Drosophila melanogaster: one gene and its partners. The protein of the gene in region 3 interacts with the protein of the main gene of each other region in a pairwise test. Each region holds a gene or a part of one and is shown on either strand. Other genes may lie near its edges.

Evidence for each region.
Region 1: the proteins of CG12825 (region 3) and CG12511 interact in a two-hybrid assay, tested with the Drosophila melanogaster proteins (one large-scale study listed by BioGRID).
Region 2: the proteins of CG12825 (region 3) and CheB42b interact in a two-hybrid assay, tested with the Drosophila melanogaster proteins (one large-scale study listed by BioGRID).
Region 4: the proteins of CG12825 (region 3) and CG11367 interact in a two-hybrid assay, tested with the Drosophila melanogaster proteins (one large-scale study listed by BioGRID).

Annotation. Positions count from the first base shown.
Region 1 is NT_033779.5:5,676,703-5,679,743, reverse strand, and holds CG12511 (uncharacterized protein), read right to left. Parts: upstream 1,163-3,041; 5' UTR 1,047-1,162; coding exon 1,019-1,046; exon of another isoform or gene 962-1,018; coding exon 594-961; 3' UTR 521-593; downstream 1-520.
Region 2 is NT_033778.4:6,942,444-6,945,762, reverse strand, and holds CheB42b (chemosensory protein B 42b), read left to right. Parts: upstream 1-1,767; 5' UTR 1,768-1,776; coding exon 1,777-2,013; intron 2,014-2,079; coding exon 2,080-2,256; intron 2,257-2,416; coding exon 2,417-2,593; 3' UTR 2,594-2,667; downstream 2,668-3,319. Other genes in the region: CheB42c (chemosensory protein B 42c), read left to right, coding at 353-589, 646-822, 893-1,069.
Region 3 is NT_033778.4:7,787,329-7,790,621, reverse strand, and holds CG12825 (uncharacterized protein), read right to left. Parts: upstream 1,417-3,293; 5' UTR 1,367-1,416; coding exon 1,264-1,366; intron 1,202-1,263; coding exon 1,122-1,201; intron 1,046-1,121; coding exon 910-1,045; intron 850-909; coding exon 734-849; 3' UTR 634-733; downstream 1-633. Other genes in the region: CG12824 (uncharacterized protein), read right to left, coding at 1-65, 124-220; CanB2 (calcineurin B2), read right to left, coding at 2,861-3,031, 3,090-3,293.
Region 4 is NT_037436.4:22,726,197-22,734,233, reverse strand, and holds CG11367 (uncharacterized protein), read right to left. Parts: upstream 6,124-8,037; 5' UTR 5,824-6,123; coding exon 5,141-5,823; intron 4,469-5,140; exon of another isoform or gene 4,426-4,468; coding exon of another isoform or gene 2,821-4,425; exon of another isoform or gene 2,634-2,820; intron 2,222-2,633; exon of another isoform or gene 2,218-2,221; coding exon 2,094-2,217; exon of another isoform or gene 1,654-2,093; coding exon 1,492-1,653; exon of another isoform or gene 1,315-1,491; coding exon 1,195-1,314; 3' UTR 788-1,194; downstream 1-787. Other genes in the region: CG11241 (uncharacterized protein), read left to right, coding at 646-780; CG32454 (uncharacterized protein), read right to left, coding at 2,821-4,425; CG14450 (uncharacterized protein), read left to right, coding at 6,518-6,702, 6,757-7,690.

The DNA of each region.
Region 1 (3,041 bases), on a different chromosome or scaffold from region 3:
CGCAAGGGATGATTTTAATTGATTTGGAGACCGGCCTTCTATACACACATATAAACTTGGAAAAACTGTCAATGTTTATTTTCTTTTTCCAATTTTTTTTGCATATGATTCTAGCTTGCTAATCACATATTTTTCGAGTCGCGCAATGCATATGAAATCGGACACACCTACACCTACTTCTCTCACTTTCACATTGCTAAGCTATTGCCTTGGTTATGAAAAACTTTGCTTATGCATAAATTTTCTACCAGCAAGCGGGGAAAATTGAAATGCTTAAAAGCGCATGAAAATGTTGTTACAAGTTTGAAGTTTTTGCTGGGTCCCTTTTTATGCGGAGCACAAACTTTAAATGCACGTTACAGTATGTAGGTGTGTGTGTGTGTGTGTCTGTGAGTGCGGTAAAGAGAGGCTTGGCTATTTGTTAAGAGAATTTCTATAAAATGTTCAAAGCTTTTGTTATGGAAACTTTCCCTGCGTGCCGGCACCCAAAAACTGCAAAAAAGTATTCCCGCAGGCCACTACAGGTGAAAACTTTCGTTTACATCAACTTAAATATTGTGTATATGTGTGTTTGCGATCATAATTTGTATTACTTAAGCCCATCCAAAGCCGAGTAGAAAGCCGCCCAAGAAGGCCACACATAGACGACCGCTGGTTGCACACGCCTTCCTGGCTTTATCCCCAAGTTCCTGAACGCGGTTAAGATTCACTGGCTCCAGGGATATTTCTCTGACCTCTAGCTGCCCCCGGGACTGATCCTGTTCCAGCTGTGAGAATGTCTTGAGCACATCCAGCTGGACCAGTCCCGCCTGCCATGCCAGCTCGAGCGCCAGAATGGTACCGCCAGCGGCCACGGCCATAATCTTACTCGCCTTGAGGAGCACGAAGCCGGTGAGAAAACCACCGGCAGCTCCCATCCCGATCTGGCTGTACGGCGACCTCTGGCTAAGGCTATTCATGGCTAGGATTGGGTATTAGAGCAGGTGCCCGATGTGCTGCGCTGATTCGACATACGTACTGCTCTTCACCACTGGTAAGTCACTCATTTCAGCTGTTTTTGCGTCTTCCTTCTCTACCTGATGCTGTGCTTTTACATTCAATTTGGGTGAGCTATGGTGAAAGGTTGCTCACAGCATGCCACAACTGTCGCTTTGATTTGCGCCCTTCTATGCGCTTCTCACACTCCCCAGCTGCGCTCAACTGGGCAAATGTCCGCCAGACCGTGAACGTCTAAGCCGACAAAAACATCAAAGTTCGAATGCGCCCATGAAAGATTGGGGTGGCATTACGTAAACGACGACCCTTACATTAAATGGCCTTAAATTTGGTGTAAAAGCACATTTTAAAAGTTTTTAATTAGTCATAAACTCTGGCAAATCATTCCTGCACACAATCTCAACCCACACATATTTACATTAAACTTTTCATGGTTACTCAGTAATGCGATAGTCACTTTTCACTAATTTATGATGGATTTAAGCAGGCGGAACAGTTTTAAATAATTTTTAAATATATTGCTTTTATCTCAGTACAAGAATTGAATAGCTACTTCATAACGTAAACTTTAAAATCGCTGTTAAATACTTATTTTTCAGTGATTCATTGCCTTGTCAGCTACCAGCTATTCAGCTGAAGGTATAGTTGGCTGAGTTCGAGTTTACAGTTCAATTGCCTGGGACCCCCGAAACGGCAACGGGCTTTAACGATTGAATGCGTTTTGGGGCTTAGTCTCACCAGTGCTCTTATTTAATTTATCGTTCAATTATGCGCCCAGCCACGCCCAATCCAAATAGCTGAGGCCCCAGGAGCTGTCGAGGTGTTTTTCGTTTATCGCTAGCCGAGAATCAAATTAACAATGAGCACGCAAATTGCCACAAATGACTGCGGAACTGGACTCGAGCGGAAAAGGGAATTCAACTATTTTCCGAGCGATTATCTAGGAGGAGTAATGCAGTCTTTAAGTGCTTTTGTGCAAACAATATCTCAGTCGGACAACGGCAGTAAACACCCTTGGGTGATTCTCTGCAAGCAACTAAAGTGTTGGAACATTTAAATTGACATTAATAGGAAAAGTAAAATGTGAAATCGTCTTGCCCAGAGGAAACGGAAAATAAAAACCACACATGAAATATAAATGAAACAGAATGCAACTTGACCATAAAATGTGAGCTCAACTGAGCGAAAAAAGGGCCAACACAAGCGGAGTAACCGAGTAACAATTTCAACATCAATGCGAAACGTGTTGGCCATGTGGTGTATTCTCTTACGGCGGTGAAGTTGGCACAAGAAATCCTGCTATTCGAAACTTTCTCCCCTTACCTTATTTTTTTCTCCGCAAGTCCTGATTTTATGTCCATTGTTTAATACAGGTGTTTGTCTAAGTACGTGAGCTGGTTAGGAAATGCTTTCGTTCGACTTGTTCCATTTTAAAATATTTGAATATTGTCATATACGACGAAAATGAAATATTTACTTAAAAACTTTAACTTTTTGGTTTTGATGATGTGACTATTGTTTAATTTCTGTGTAAAGTCCTATAATTACACCCTTTAAATTGTATCGATTGATGAATAACGTACAAATCCTTATTGAAAAGATACCTTTTCCTTGCACTGTAAGCGTCTTCTCTTGAAAAGTTTACTGTGGTTTTCCACTGCTTTATATTCGGTTTGCTCGCCTTTAGACAAAGCGGAATCAAACATAAGATTGTTATTGTACTTTATTATAATCATATTGCATTATAGCAGAAACAGAATTCGGAGTTCTTGCAAAATATTCAAGCTATTGCAAACTTCTCTTTTGCGAATCAATGTCGTATGAAGTTTTTTATCATATCTGGGAGAAACACTGAATTTCGCTGCACTCAGCTAACGAATGCATCATTGCAAGATGCAAATAGCAGGCGCAACAATACGTATACGCAATGCATATTTACCCAATTTAGAAGCCAAGTGCAGTGTGCGCTCTTCCCAACCATATGGTTAATGCGATGTGGAATACTGGTCCCGACTGGACCCCAGAAACTTTGGGTGCTTGGTTCA
Region 2 (3,319 bases), 840 kb from region 3:
TTACAAGTATAACAATCTAAATGCCTATTTGGCATACAAGTTGTTATGCTAATGGCTAAAACCTTTAGTATTTAGCTTATATATCTTAATAAATATAAGATTAACAGGAATGATTGTTTTGATCGTTTAATAAGGACTATTTTCATTGGCACTGATTTCCTCGAAACTTGTTATGGTTGAAGTGAGCTTCTTGCTTTAAATGTCGATTTAAAATAATGTCTGGCAAACAAAATGGTTGTAACTTTGTTGCATGTCGAGTGGATACATGATGACATGATAGCAATGATAGAAGAGATCATGATGGCAAGTACTATAAAAGGGTCTCATCCCACCAGGTGATACTATTGTCATCATGAGAACTCTCATGCTGTTCGTATTTGGCTTTGCTAGTTCCTGGGCCGCAGACTACGAGCTGTTGCTGGAGGACCCTGATATCTTTTCACCCTGCACTGAACCGCCGCCGGGATCGATTGGATTCCACGATGCCTTCGATATTGGCGATCTGGTAGTCGACCAGGACATGGACATCATTCACCTGTCCGAGAGTGTCACCTCAATCTGGGATGTGGAGCCCACAGATCGCATATCCGTAATGCCCGCATTCCTTATACGAAATAAGATTATTAATAAACAATTGCTTTTAAGGCCAGGTTTGCAATAATGCATTACAACCGCGGCAGCTGGGAACCGACTGTATTTAGCATGGCCACGCCGGACTTCTGCGCCTCAATGTTTGATGAGAATCAGTCGTGGTTTAAGTACTGGACCAAACACATTTCGAACCGCGATGAGGTGATGGAGAAGTGTTTTAAAACGCGTGGTGTGAGTTTTCCCTGCAAACAAAACAGTCCATCTCTGGCGCGGTGACTTTAACCTTGGGATTCCATTACAGACCGTTATAATGCACAATCCATTCGATCTGCAGCTGCGTCTAACGGACATTCGTGGTGCAACTCTCAGGGGTCGTTACAAAGCTGTGGTCACCTTTGAGGCGGTCGATGAGAAGGATGTGCCACGCCGTAATTCCATTTGCTTCGAAATCAGGGGAGAGGCCGAGAAGATAAATTAATTAAGGGCTTAATCTGTTCAAGGCGCGATATCAGTAACCTAAAAAACAATATAAACCCAATATCTACATATTTTGAAAATAAAAAGCAATCTTAAAAATATAAATATAAATAAAATATATCAACTATTCTGAACTTGATATATGTACTTGATTTGGTACAAAGTGTGTAACAGGTGACGCGAACCTTTTTTTTCGTTTGATCAACCTTATGCCCGTATGTGATCTCGGGAGCTATAAAAGCTATATTGATAAGATAAGGGATGCAGATTATAGAGAAGTACTTTCAGAAGATTGCCACGCCTACTCTACCACACCCTCTAACGACCAAAAACCGCCCAAAACTGTCACGCCCACACGGATATGTGATCGCCAAGAAAATCTTTGGGGAATTTGTTTTTTGTTTCAAACTTGTTTTTTTTTCTAGCCCAAAAGTTATTATTATTAAAACATCTTGTTTTACAATGTTTAAGCACGAATATTTTCAAGGGTCACATAACGTGATTTGCCAATTATATTGTTAGAGTTTGACAACGTCTGATTAACAGGAGATGGTTGTTACATTGTTGCGTGTTGAATCAATGTACGATGGCATACCATGATTAGATGTCATCATTTTAAAAGGTGTATAAATAAAACATATCAAAAACTCTATTGTGGCAGTGGCTATAAAGGGGTCGGATCTCACAGTTTTCGGTTCTATGGTCATCATGATATTTGTGCTGCTACTCTTATTAGGAGTGACCAGTTCCTGGGCCACAGACTATGAATTATTGCTCGAGGATCCGGACATATTTTCGACGTGCACTGATGGTCCTCCCGGATCCATCAACATCCGCCAGGCACTCAACTTAGACGACATTGTAATCGACCAGAAAGGGGATATACTTCATGTATCCGGGAACGCCACCGTCGTGTGGGATGTGCAGCCCACCGATCGGATTACTGTAACACAAACTGCAAGCTTCGGAATAATCATCGATTCTAATATCAAAACTCTTGCATCCGTGTAGGCGAGACTTGATGTTTTTCACTTCAACCGCGGCACTTGGGAGCCCACTGTCTTTAGCATGGCCACCCAGAACTTTTGCTCCATCATGTACGACAAGAACCAGTATTGGTATAAGTATTGGACAAGGTTTATAACCAATCGCCATGAGGTGGAAAAGAAGTGCTTCAGAGGGCCTGATGTAAGTGGAGTTCAAGCAATTTGACAACCAAATACGGTGGAATATAATAGCATATGGGAATAGTTCTCATATGGGATGCAGATTATTCATATGGTTGTGTGCAAAGGACACTACCATTTTTTATTGCACAATATTTTGAAAATATTCTGATTTCTTACAGACCGTTCTGGTACACGAGCCCTTCGATCTCATACTAAAATTTGAGAATTTTCGTGGACCTCTTCTTAGAGGACGTCATAAACTTGTCATATTGTTTAACGCACTAGATGAGAGGAATATACCGCGCCCAAACCCAATTTGTTTGGAGATCATAGGAGAACCACTAAAGTTGCAGTAGTTGGAACAATAGACTATTTTGTTGAATGTGTATTTTTTTTTTCAATATTGTATAATATTAAACATAGTGTTCTTAATTCCTACATTCAATAACAATTTAAACATTGCATCGTGTTTTAACAGATCTCATAACTTTAGGGGCTTGTTTTACCTTCCATATCCCCAATCAGTTAACTTCTTGATTCGTTTTGTTTTGTGGTTGGTGGCACGCGTTGACGGCAACTTGAGTTCAAGTTGCGGTTTCCATATCGGCTAGCTGCGTGTGGCAAGTACCTTCTCGGGTAACGACGTGCAGACAAAGGAGAACCGTATACTGACTGCATTTTTTTGGGGTCATGACTGCCGTTGCTGGATGGGGAATATGCAAATACAATTGTCGGTTATTGGATTACCCGATGATGATTGGCATAAGTTCCGATCGATTCAAATCGCAGCAATCGATTTGTCAATTTGCAAAGCTCTTGCCAATTCACGGAAAATGTTTCTTACAGATTTGCGAAAACTTTTAAACGGCAGGGAGGTAAGCCTCGGAACACTTTCATTTCATATTCCCGGCGAATAATTTTCTACTTTCTAAACCGAAGAGCCAGAAACAAAGACCGTCTTTAGGTGCAAATTAGCAGCGCACGATTGTGCAGGCCGCTCCGGGCAATCCGGTAAAGTCAACATCTGGCCAAAGCCGAAATTATGGCCGCGGGCACTCACTATACTATATAGTATATGGTAC
Region 3 (3,293 bases):
GATGAGTACTGCGCTGCTGATAATCTGCATGGACGCTATGTGAACTCCAAATGCGTAGGATAATTCTGCGGGGAAACTGGTATTAGATGTGCTGGCTCTTGAACTTTGACCCCCGTTCAGTACCCCTCAAGTTGGCGAATATGATGAGGTAGGCGATCGCAAGGCAGATCGATGCAGCCCCGGAGCAAATAATGCCCGCCTTGGAGTCCGGTTTCCACATTTCCAACTCCTCGATGGGCGTTTTGTTCGCAAATGATCCATTGTTCCATTACTAAAAAGCTTTTTTTAATACTTATCTAATCAGCCATTGCTTTATATACAACGCATATACATAAAAGCCTTTGTGGGATATATAGGCACCGCAAAAGGGATAATAAAATTGTGCATCATAGAAAACAAGCTTTGCTAAAAGCCAAATGATAAAAGTAAAAAAAAAACAGAATTACCTTTGTCAGAGATAACAGAGATGTGAGCTGGAAACGAAATTTCGCAGAAAAAAGATAACAAATATATTTTCAGAGCACACTGAAAATAATAGTTCACAAAAGTGATTGCCTTAAAGTTTATAGTTCCCATTGCAAATTGTAATAAACTTTAGAAAAGTTTAAATTTACACCGATTTCTTGTGGGTTTGTTTCGTTTGAATAGCACTTAAAATGAGCTTTTATTTTCCAGCTATCTGATCTACCTTTAATCTTTTTTTTGTTTGTATTGAAATTGCTTATATATGTATCTATATGTGATTGATGAACTCCTTCTTGTCGGACAAGCTGGCATATGCCGGTGGCTCCTCCTTGCGCATCCTGTCGAAGGCCTTCTGCACCGAGTACAGGGCGCAGCCCAGATAGGCTGAAAGTGAAGGATTTTGGTTAATTGGCTGTCCAATCTCTGGCTGCGTTAACTCCTCACCTGTGAACGGAACGACCATCAATGGTCCGAAGATCCAAGCTGTGCCCTGGACTATCAGTGAAATGAACAGGTTCACCATCAGGTATAAAAAGAATCCTGTGGTTATCATCCACGGCACGAAGAACTTGTGCTTTTGCTGTATGCAGCAAAGAGCAGAGCAAAGAGATAAGAGATAAGAGTGTTGTGGACTGTGCACAGTGTGCCTAACTAACCTTTATGGCTCCAACGATGAGGACCACGCTTCCCAAGATCTGCAGCGCCGAAATGTGTATTCCCATCTCGTAGAGTCCATCTGAAACGAAATAGCTCTATGCATCGCAAAGATATCCAAGATTGGTATGTATATGCGCCTACATTTCCAGAAGTAATCGTCCATCAAAACCAGATAGGTTATGGCAAAGGCTATGGACAGGCAGCCCGAGCAGATGATTCCTCCTTTGGTGTCCAGCTTCCACATGTTTCCAAAATCGCAGAGTAACTTGCAGACCGCCGATTATTTCACAACTAAACTGGACGGGAGTATTCATGGTGGTGATGGGTGAGCAGGCTAGCTTTTGCCGCAGACCTTATCTAATCTCATATTGTACTGTAGCTCCTCCACCAGCGCAACAACAATTGAAGAAAACCTTTGTTGGTTAGTGTATAATTATAATTTTATTGAAGGATTCGCTTATTATTGCTTCGACTGGCCAGCTAACTGGGCAATCCATGCGGGCCTATCTATCGATGGGTTCCCAACTTGTGGCTACACCATTTTACAATGAGATACGACCTCGAGTCGATTACTTTGAATAATGCAATGGAATTTAATTGATTAGCTAACGAATTGAGAGTGGCGAGTGTGCAAAAATTTGTTAATTGTAAAATTTGTAACATGCGTTTTACTATTTGGTTTTCTTGCATCTTTAACTAGTATAATTAGGTATAAAAAAATGTTACTGCAATATCACCGCACGGCATTGCTTCATATGTATGTTTTGATGTATAATAACTATTCGATTTTCAGTTAACTCGCGTTATAAACTGCAAAATGTAGCGTATTTTAGAAAACGTTCGAGGCGTTCTACGTTCTGCGTGAGAATCGTTGATTAATTTGAGTTAAGTGGCGTTAGAAATTGGTTAAGATAGACTTAAGAAACTTGGCAAACGTCGCCTTCCTCTGGTGTTATCAAGTTAGTCAAGATATATAAAAATACGTTACGTAGGTTATAACATTCGATTAGTACAAGTAGGTATGTATAAATATATAAAAAGTACACAACGTGTAAATAAGACTAAGTCAATAGAGGAGACCTCCTTCGGGCAGGTTGCTTAGCTGCCCCGCGCATCTGTCCTTTCTCATCATAAGCACTTCATATTTCGATTTGTTGCATTTCGATTGGTTTTGTTGTTTTTTTTTTTTTTTTTTTGTTTTGTTTTTGGCAAAATCACAGGAGAATTAGAAATATAACATCAATATGATAGAGCGAAAGTGCATTCGATAGAGCATTCGTTCAACTTGGGTTGCTTTATTTGCCTTTGCTTGCACGAACTTGGATTCCGCCTTAGTTAAGTTTAGTTTTGCTTCTGGGGTTTTTGAATTCTTTAAATGTATATTTGTATAATAAATTATGACTATATATGCATTTATATATAAGTATATAGATGAATATATTTAAGAAGTAAGTAGGAGGCGCATTATTCCACTTTTCAACTTAGGATAACAACATTGCATTCGCGATTTCTCCCTAAGCCTTCGATCGCTGTACTGACTGACTGGCTGGCTGGCTGACTGACTGACTGACTAACTGAACTGGCTCGCCAAAGGCTCATAACAATATTTAACTATAGAGAATCGCCGATCAAAAATAATAACCATATGAATAGTGGTGATAGTGACAATCGAAGGATGCCGACGTGTATAAAATAAATAAATAACATCGCGTAGAAAAGGATCTGCGTTAAACCTATTTTAGACATCGACTACCATCTTCTTGTGAATGTCCGTGTTGCCGACCACAGAGCAGAACTCATCGAACGAGATCTTGCCATCCTCATCCTTATCCGCGAATCCGATCGTCTTGTCCACAATCTGCTGCAGTTGCGTGTCCTTCAGATTATTGCCTACCATCATCTTTAAAACCTTTTAGAGGGGAAACACTTCAGTGGAATGAGCTTAACGTAATGTTCGCGGGTCTTGCCTGAAACAGTTCGCCATTGGAAATGTAACCATCGTTGTCCATGTCATAGATGCGAAAGGCGAAGCGCAACTTGGACAGCTTGTCGCCCTTGACGCTGAACTGCGACACGCCCTGGATGAACTCCTTGAAGTCCACCTCGCCGTTGCCGTCCGCGTCGAAAATGTCGATCACGCGCTGCACCAGCGGATTCTGTTGCAGCTCCGG
Region 4 (8,037 bases), on a different chromosome or scaffold from region 3:
CACGTGTACACTTTTATGATTCAAGTTGATATTTGCACATGAAAAAAAAAAATAATCCTCAGCACTTCGATTCCAAATTGTAATTTACTTGGCAACCCTAAGCTCGGAATATGGCTATAATCTACGATCAGCATACGCACCATTCTAAATGTACTCACCCACTTATCTTAAAAATCGGTATAACCATTTATTTATATAGAAATCAGAAGACATTCCCAAGCTCTATCTTTTTGAAAATGCAAATTCTAGCATCTTGGACGGTTCGAAAAGGATAAATTATTGGTAGCAGGATATACATATAAAATTTTGACACAACATAAGCATTAAATACAAAATGACTGAAAGTATGCACTACATATATAGCACGTATTAAACGTGTAAAAATTGGGTACCAATGTAGATTTTCAAAAGTTTAAGCGCACGAACATTATTTGACAATTACCTTACAAGTTATTCCTAAAGCACAATCTTTTAGAACAACAATTGTTGTTTCAGTTTTAAATTTAGTACCTGGCCTTGACCAGTAAAAAGATCCCATGAAATGTAAAATTTCCAGATTACATTTTTTGATGCTACACTGTAGGACGGAGGGTCATTAATATAATAATAATTTTCGCATTATTTGAAGTTTCCTCTTCTCTTCAGGTGCTGAGCATGAGACCGCCACTGTGTCTTTGTGCCGAAGACGTGGAATTTGCCCTGGAGACACTGGAGGAAGCGTTTAAATTTCATATGAGCAAGAGCCCTCGCAGTTGGAGAAACAGCACAATGATGATGTAGAAAAGTTGTACTTTAGAGCTCATTTATTTGCTTATTCGCTTACAAACTAATAATTGAACAACATTATAGAGCAGCATTATGACCAACAATCGAGTCTTCGAGCTAGCGGTCTTTGAGCGAGGCTTTGACTTATTTATAAATGTACATCTCAGGAATTCTTAGAAGTAATGTGTGATGTGAAGCATGACACACCCTCATACAGTTTTAGGGAACGAGTGTGATTTGAATCCGTATCTGCTAAGGCTAGCTTAATGTTTGGTTTCAATGGCATTGCCTTGAGCATAAATAAATAAAACAACTCGAAAACCGCCTTAGTTTGAACTAGGTAATGCAAAAACGCAGTCTTCTGTTAAAGTCCAGGAGATTCTCTTTGGCTGGGGGTCCTGTAGGACTCCGTTCCCCAAGTGGCTCCTGTTAAACTTGTACGTCGGGATGCTTGCCCTCGTTATTGTAATCAGCGCTCAGCAACGTCTCAGACAGCTCCTTTCTGGCCTTCTGCAATACCCAGAACATCAAGGCCACGCCGCAAATTACCTTAAAGACACAAAAGACACATTGTGGATTAAATAACTTAAGATAAAACAAGATAATTAAACAAAGAGCTTGTGGACTTATTAAACAGCAATAATGAAGCAATTCAAATGTACAAACTCAAAAACTATTAGGCATATGATCTAAGAAGAGGTCAATTGCGATCCAAAGCGAACATACCTCAAACAGGAAGCTGATATACCCCGTCAGTTTGGTATCGTTATCACTGAGCACTTCATGCATGGACCTTAGCGTGGAACCCAAGTAAACATTGATGGTTTGGGCTGGCAGCAAACCAATCAGCGTGGCCACATGGTAGTCTCTTGTGTTGATGGAACTGATCTGTGAAAATAATAGTGTGATATAGAAACTAAATGGTTTAAGCGTGCCATGATTTAGCACCTAATTTTTAAGGAAAACTGGTTTTTGTTCAGTTTAACTGCATAGAAACTTGACGAATATGCACATATATTAGGTATACAACGTAACCGTCTCTGTATTATTCGTATAATTAGCTATTTAAATATTGCAGTATAAATAATTATTCATATAGATTCACAAAGCTTTGCAAAATTTTATTTACATGTCAGTGTGACGAATATTTGGTCCATTTTCAATTTGTTCCATTTAATTTTACGTTCGAATTCTTAAAGTTAATAAATAAAATTCTTGAAGTGACAAATTGGCAAACAATAAGAGAATATCTAGATATTTCGAACTCGCCCTTTTCTGAACAACAAGTTCAAGAATAACAATAGATCTGACAAAATCTAGTCACTTACTCCGAATATCACATTCTGCACTCCGAAGGGAATGGGGGTAAGTCGGGTAAAGAGAACGACTCGAAATGCCTTTGGGCCAGAAATGACGCGAAGAATGGCTCGTCCCGTATCATTCTTGATCAGCCTGCAAATAGATGCAATCGAACGGGTCTCATCACTTAATTTATTAAGTATACATATGTACATATATACATAATTACACCCAACTACTGACTCTAATTGAGTTTATCCAACAATCAGGAAATGATTATTGGGGCTATCAGCCAGTTCCACCGTTCGTCGATGAAACAGTTTACGCTCCCTCATAAAAATTGGTAGGCATTGATTTCATGCTATCACACAAATAACCTTTAATTAGGTGTGCCTATTTGGTAAATGTGATGTTAAATAAATGTGTTATTTTTAAAGAAAATTCATAAGCCTCTGTAATTGATTAATTATGTCCGCTGGGTATTGGAACCTAGTTTAGTAATTGTCGGAAATTAAAAGCTTGCTGCTATCAGGCGCGACAAATGTCTGATAAGGAGATCAAAACCGACTGAGCGTTAAAGGGGGATTTACCCAATGAGGCGGGTTTTAATTGCAAACGGGTTTAATGACAAATGAGCGTTTAGTACCTATATACAAAACATACAACACATTTATATGTACCGGCGATGTGGATACGCGATATCGATTTTGCGGAATAACTGCCCTTATCAGATATTCCTTGGGCAAATGTATTTGCTCAGTCGCCGTCACCGTGGCTTTGCAATTGTCGTGTGTCACAAGATCCACTTTGATCACCGTCATTCCGCAATCTATGCGATCTGGTTCGGCTTGCAGGTAGACAGACTTCTATGTCCTGGGGCTCGCTGGGGCAGGCGGCGGTAAGTAGATCCACGGAGTAATCATCCCGGACGTGCAGGGTGTCGCCAAGCTGACAAAGAATGCCCCGGAACTCGGGGTAGGCCTGGCAGCAGTCATCGGGAATAGAGATTGACAGCCGCAGCGACATCACGTTTCCGGGAGCGAAGGGATAGTCAAGGAGTCTGCGACTGGTGTCTCGCTTTCCCAGACCCACGTGCGAGACCACGACTGGGGAGCAGTTGTACTTGCGAGCCAACTCCACTGTCTCGGCTGCACTGCTGACACCCTTAGGCAACACGCGGAGCTCCCTTAGGTGCCGAGCCAGAAGGATTAAATAGGCGGCGTGCAGTTCCAGAGGTGTGCGGACGGCACCCTCACATCCTGCGTACTGTATCAACGAGCACAGATCCCGACGCATGTCCAACAGCGCACCATAAATCATTTTCTGGGGCGGCGTGAATCGCCCCGAGCTGGGCCAGCATCTGGCCAGTCCCCCCTCGTAGCCTCCGTACTGACATCCAGCGTCCATCTGCCACAGCCCATTGCCATCCAATCCGCACGAAGTTTTTGTCACGTCGGGACGAGCGTGGCGCAAACGGCACTTGTAGTCAAATGAAGCGGCCAGCTCCTGAGGAATCTGATGATGCTGTGCGATTACCTCCGCCATGGAGTCCGCAGCGGTGGCGTTAGCCCGACGCAGGGCTCTCAGCTCCCGCGAGGTCTTGACGGTGCGTGTGTACTGGAGGATGTATCGGGGATTGCCCATAGGAATCTTGGCTTCATTAGCCACCTCTTGCACTATACAACTGACAGGACTCGATGGGTCGTAGAAGTGCCATAGCTCGGGCGAGTGATCCCTTAACAGCCAGAGTAAACTTTTCTTAAGCATTGCGAGGGGCAGAACGTCGTCCACGTAGTGCATATGGCTAAAAATGGTGGACAGCTGGGAGTCCACATCCTGGGAAAGAAAGAGCAACGCGCCAGTATTTCGCTTTCGGCTGCGGGTGAGAACCAATGCTGCCCCTGGTCTCAAGCAGTCGCAAAGATAGAGGAAGTCAGGCCTCTGCCGAAAGGGGTAACTCCGAGCTGAGTCAGCTCCGGCCACCACAAGAACGTGCGAAAATATGCGGTTTTTCCTGTGCGGCTCTTTGAATGCGTCCTTCGCGTGCATATAAGAATTAAGGTCGTCCAGGGACATTTTTCGGTGCAGATCAATTTCATCCGGCAGGAGAACTCCGTCGGGCCGTGGATCGCTGCGCAGGTACTCGGACATTGTGGCGAACTGTCCGCCAGGGGCATCGCAGGAGAACTTCTCGATCAGGTCGGGCACTGAGAGCGGGCGGATCCTCTTGGTAAGCTCGGAGGGCCAGACCGTTGGCAGCACCAGAAGCACATCACTCCTATCCGGTGGGGCCACTACGGAACAACCGCGACGCACCTCTTGCCAGGCATAATACTTAAAATTTCGAAGAAACCGCAGCATTGGAGAATACAAAAAGCACACAGAGCAATGGGTAATATAAGGGCTAGATACAAGAAAGCGAGACTTATGGAAGATAGGGTTCCCTGATCGCAATAAATTTAAATATGTACTACTCGTAAAATGGGCATATGGACTCTGTAGCACTTGTCAATACAAAGATCAGTTTTCCGCTTAAAAGTATTAAAAATATTAACGTTTTGTGCGTGACCACTGTTTCTTGATTATTGGAGAGATGAATTTATTATTTAAAAACTGAAATATTTTTTAAGAAGTGTAGAACAGGTTACTGCGTTTGTGATCGCGGCAATGACTTAAAACCAAATTGCGCGGATTAGTTTGTTAAATCACAACAGACAAACGGACAAATGGAATCGGTTGGAGATCTTTATCAAGGATACATAGACACAATTAATTATTTTCAACGGAGTGTACCTACAAGAGCAAAGCGCATGACTTTAGAAGATAGTACACCTAATTTTCAACAGTTGGGGATTTGTATGCGTAGTATTTAACACTACTCAACGAACAGATAAATAAACTCTGTATTTTCAACGGAGCTTCGATTTTTAGCTTTTTAAATTTTACGCTTTATGCCGCTTATGACGTGTAAAAGTGCACAAATTAGTTTCTGGAATATCGAAGCAGTTTTAAACTAAAGACGCATAAATATATGATTTTAAGAAGTCGATGAAGTGTCACCAGACGCGCAACTCACCTTTGGACGGGAATGCGGTGCCGGCAGCTGCGAATGGTGGCATGGGCCACGGCTATGCCGATATTGGCGCCCAGGATCACGGTGACCCAACCGCGCAGGCAGCCGAACAGGTAACCGGCGGTGATGAGCAGAACGAAGTAGCCCACCACCACGGGGAAGCTGACAAGAGCGAAGAGCCCCATGTAGACGGCAAATGTTATCCAGGCGTTCTGCATTTCGATCCAAAAGAGCAATTGGCGAGCATAGTCCCGCGTCGCCCATCCGATGAAGACGAGGGCGCCTAGAATGGTGGCGGGCACTAAGCAGCCCAGGTACCAGTTGCGGGTGAGAAAGCTGTGGGCTCGTCCCCAACACGAGTTGCGCTTCCGGTTGTGTAGCACAGAGGTGGTGGCGGAGGAGCGGGTAGCTCTCCGACTGGCTAGAAACGGGTCACATTCGCTGTCCTCCGACGTGTCCGGTGTGCGCTGGGCGGCGAAGAGAGCTTCGGAGTTGCCGGCAGCCCCCACAATGCTGTCTGGTGGATCCACCTCCACGGCGTTGGAACAGCTGGCCTGGATCAGCTGAGGGAAGGCGGGTGCGGTGGAGGCGGGCACTGGCTTCTGCATGATGCAGTTGGTATCATTGTTGTTCGAATAGCCGTACGTGGTTTTGTTTTTATAGTTGTTGTTATTGTTGCATGACATGACCAGGATTTTCTTTTGGCCACAGCTCTGCCTTTCTCCGTTTTCTTTTCCACTTGTCGCTGTGAAATTTCACTTTTATGCACCCACATTCGCGCAAATACAGAGTTCTGAGTTTACGGTCGCATGTGTGTGCTTTGTGTCACATATGGCAAGGCAACCGAGTCCCAGAAACCGTTGTTGTTATTGTCTTAATTCAATTAAAATTACGAATTGTATTTATTGTTTATATATGTGCCACAGCCGCTCAACAATCGACGTACGACTGCCCACTCGACGTTGACGTTCCGACTGGAACTTCGAGTTCCCGCAGCGAGAGTGAAAGAGAATGTGAGAGGACAGAGAGCGTGCAGTGCTGCGATTTTAGCATTTTTCTTTAGCCATACTATACGGACTGCTCCAGTTTCTTCTTCTTTAAAAATTAATTAATAATGTGATTTATATTATATTTATAAATTATTTCCTTTGTAGTTTTACCTAAAATGTATAATGATTGCTGTGTGAAATACATGCCTTTTCTCTCATCTTTTTCACTTAACAATTAGTTGCTATAAATTGTTTGTAGCCGTCGATGGTGTAGCATTGTATATCGATTAATTAGAAAAACTGAAAAAATGAGCTTGGTCCCACTAACCGAACAGCTGTATAGACGATATCAAATTAAGTAACAACAAATATAAATCATATACTGGAAAATATGTTGTGCCGGCGATCATTGTTGGGCGTAACGACAAAATGCCTAAGACTTTCGTCCACGCAGCAACACAGATCGGGTCAGCCGGAATGTGACCAAGCCATCGGCCTCTTGCCCGCCTACTCGGATGCAGATCGTTTGAAGATCTTGAAGACGATTAATGAAAGCAGCATGAATCAGATAGCCAAGTAGGTAGCCACTCCTGCACTTTGCCTTGCACAAATACTGATTATCCCGCCCAGCTACGACATAACCAAGGCAAGGGCAACCAAGCTGCAAAACTGGAAGAACCGTCACGGACCGCTGCAGGAACTCAGCGACATCCTGTATGTGGAGGGATTCGGACTGAAGGTGACCACCAAGTTCTTTAAGAGTCTGCTTGCGCCGCCGAGCAGTGGGAGCGCACAAGTAGGGGAAAATAGACCAAAGACTGCACGAGTCGCGCCCTTTATAACACCGGCCATGGACGAGGGACAGCGTTCACGTATTGTATCTGCTGTAGGGGTGCGCATCGGAGTGACCAGTGTAAGCTGGGCGCGATTAAAGATCGGAAGCAACGAAGCTCCCTGTCTGCTCACGCACTGGCAGCACCATGAGCTGAACGACAAGAAGCTGCATTTGTCAGAACTTTCCCGCCGATGCCTCTATGTATCTCACCAGATACCCGTGGCCGATTGCTACGTCATGGAGAGTCCACAAATGGCCCAGGCCAGCAGCAACCCAGGGAGCATCGATCAACAGAACGTGAACATCCAGAAGGCCCAGGTTTCCGCAATCATGAGCTTCTCCTTGATGGCCCGATCAGATGGCGACGAGAACAAGACGAACAACGTCTACTACATGCGACGTTTTCTCTCAGCCCGACTATTTAATCACATGGTGGGTACTGAGCGCGTGTCGTCCGAGGATACGATATTGGCCATGATGCGAACCCATTACAACGTGGAACATCAGATCCCCGAAACAGAGCCCCCGTTGAAGCTGCACAAACAGATCGACTTTCCCGCTGACCTACGCCTCGAATTCTCACAACAAGAGCGCTACCAGCGCGAGCTTCTAGGCCAGGCACTTCTCCTCAGCTTAGCCTTTACTCGTCTCGTGCTTCAGCAAGATCCGCAAAGCATTGCATCTGTATCTCGCAACTCTAAAAACTCCTCTCCAAGTCGAGCCACTTAAAAAGCTACAAGTGTAAGAATATGAACTCGACTCTTTTTGGCCTTTGCACTTTGTATTATAATGACCCGTTGAACAATTTTATGCACAATATTTAACAGGGGTTTTAATAGGAGCAGTTTCTAATGGCACAACTGCATTTCCATGGAATACCATAAACATAGATTATTTTGAGCTTGGCCCCACTTAGCTAATTAGAATTTGTCGCCATCAAAAATATCATGTCTTTCTTTCATTACTGCCCACATATTAGGTCTTAAAAATATTTATTTAGCAGAACTAAAATAAATAAATACTTGATGCTGGCCCTGTCCGTTTGAACGAATTTATTTTTAAATACAAGTAATAGT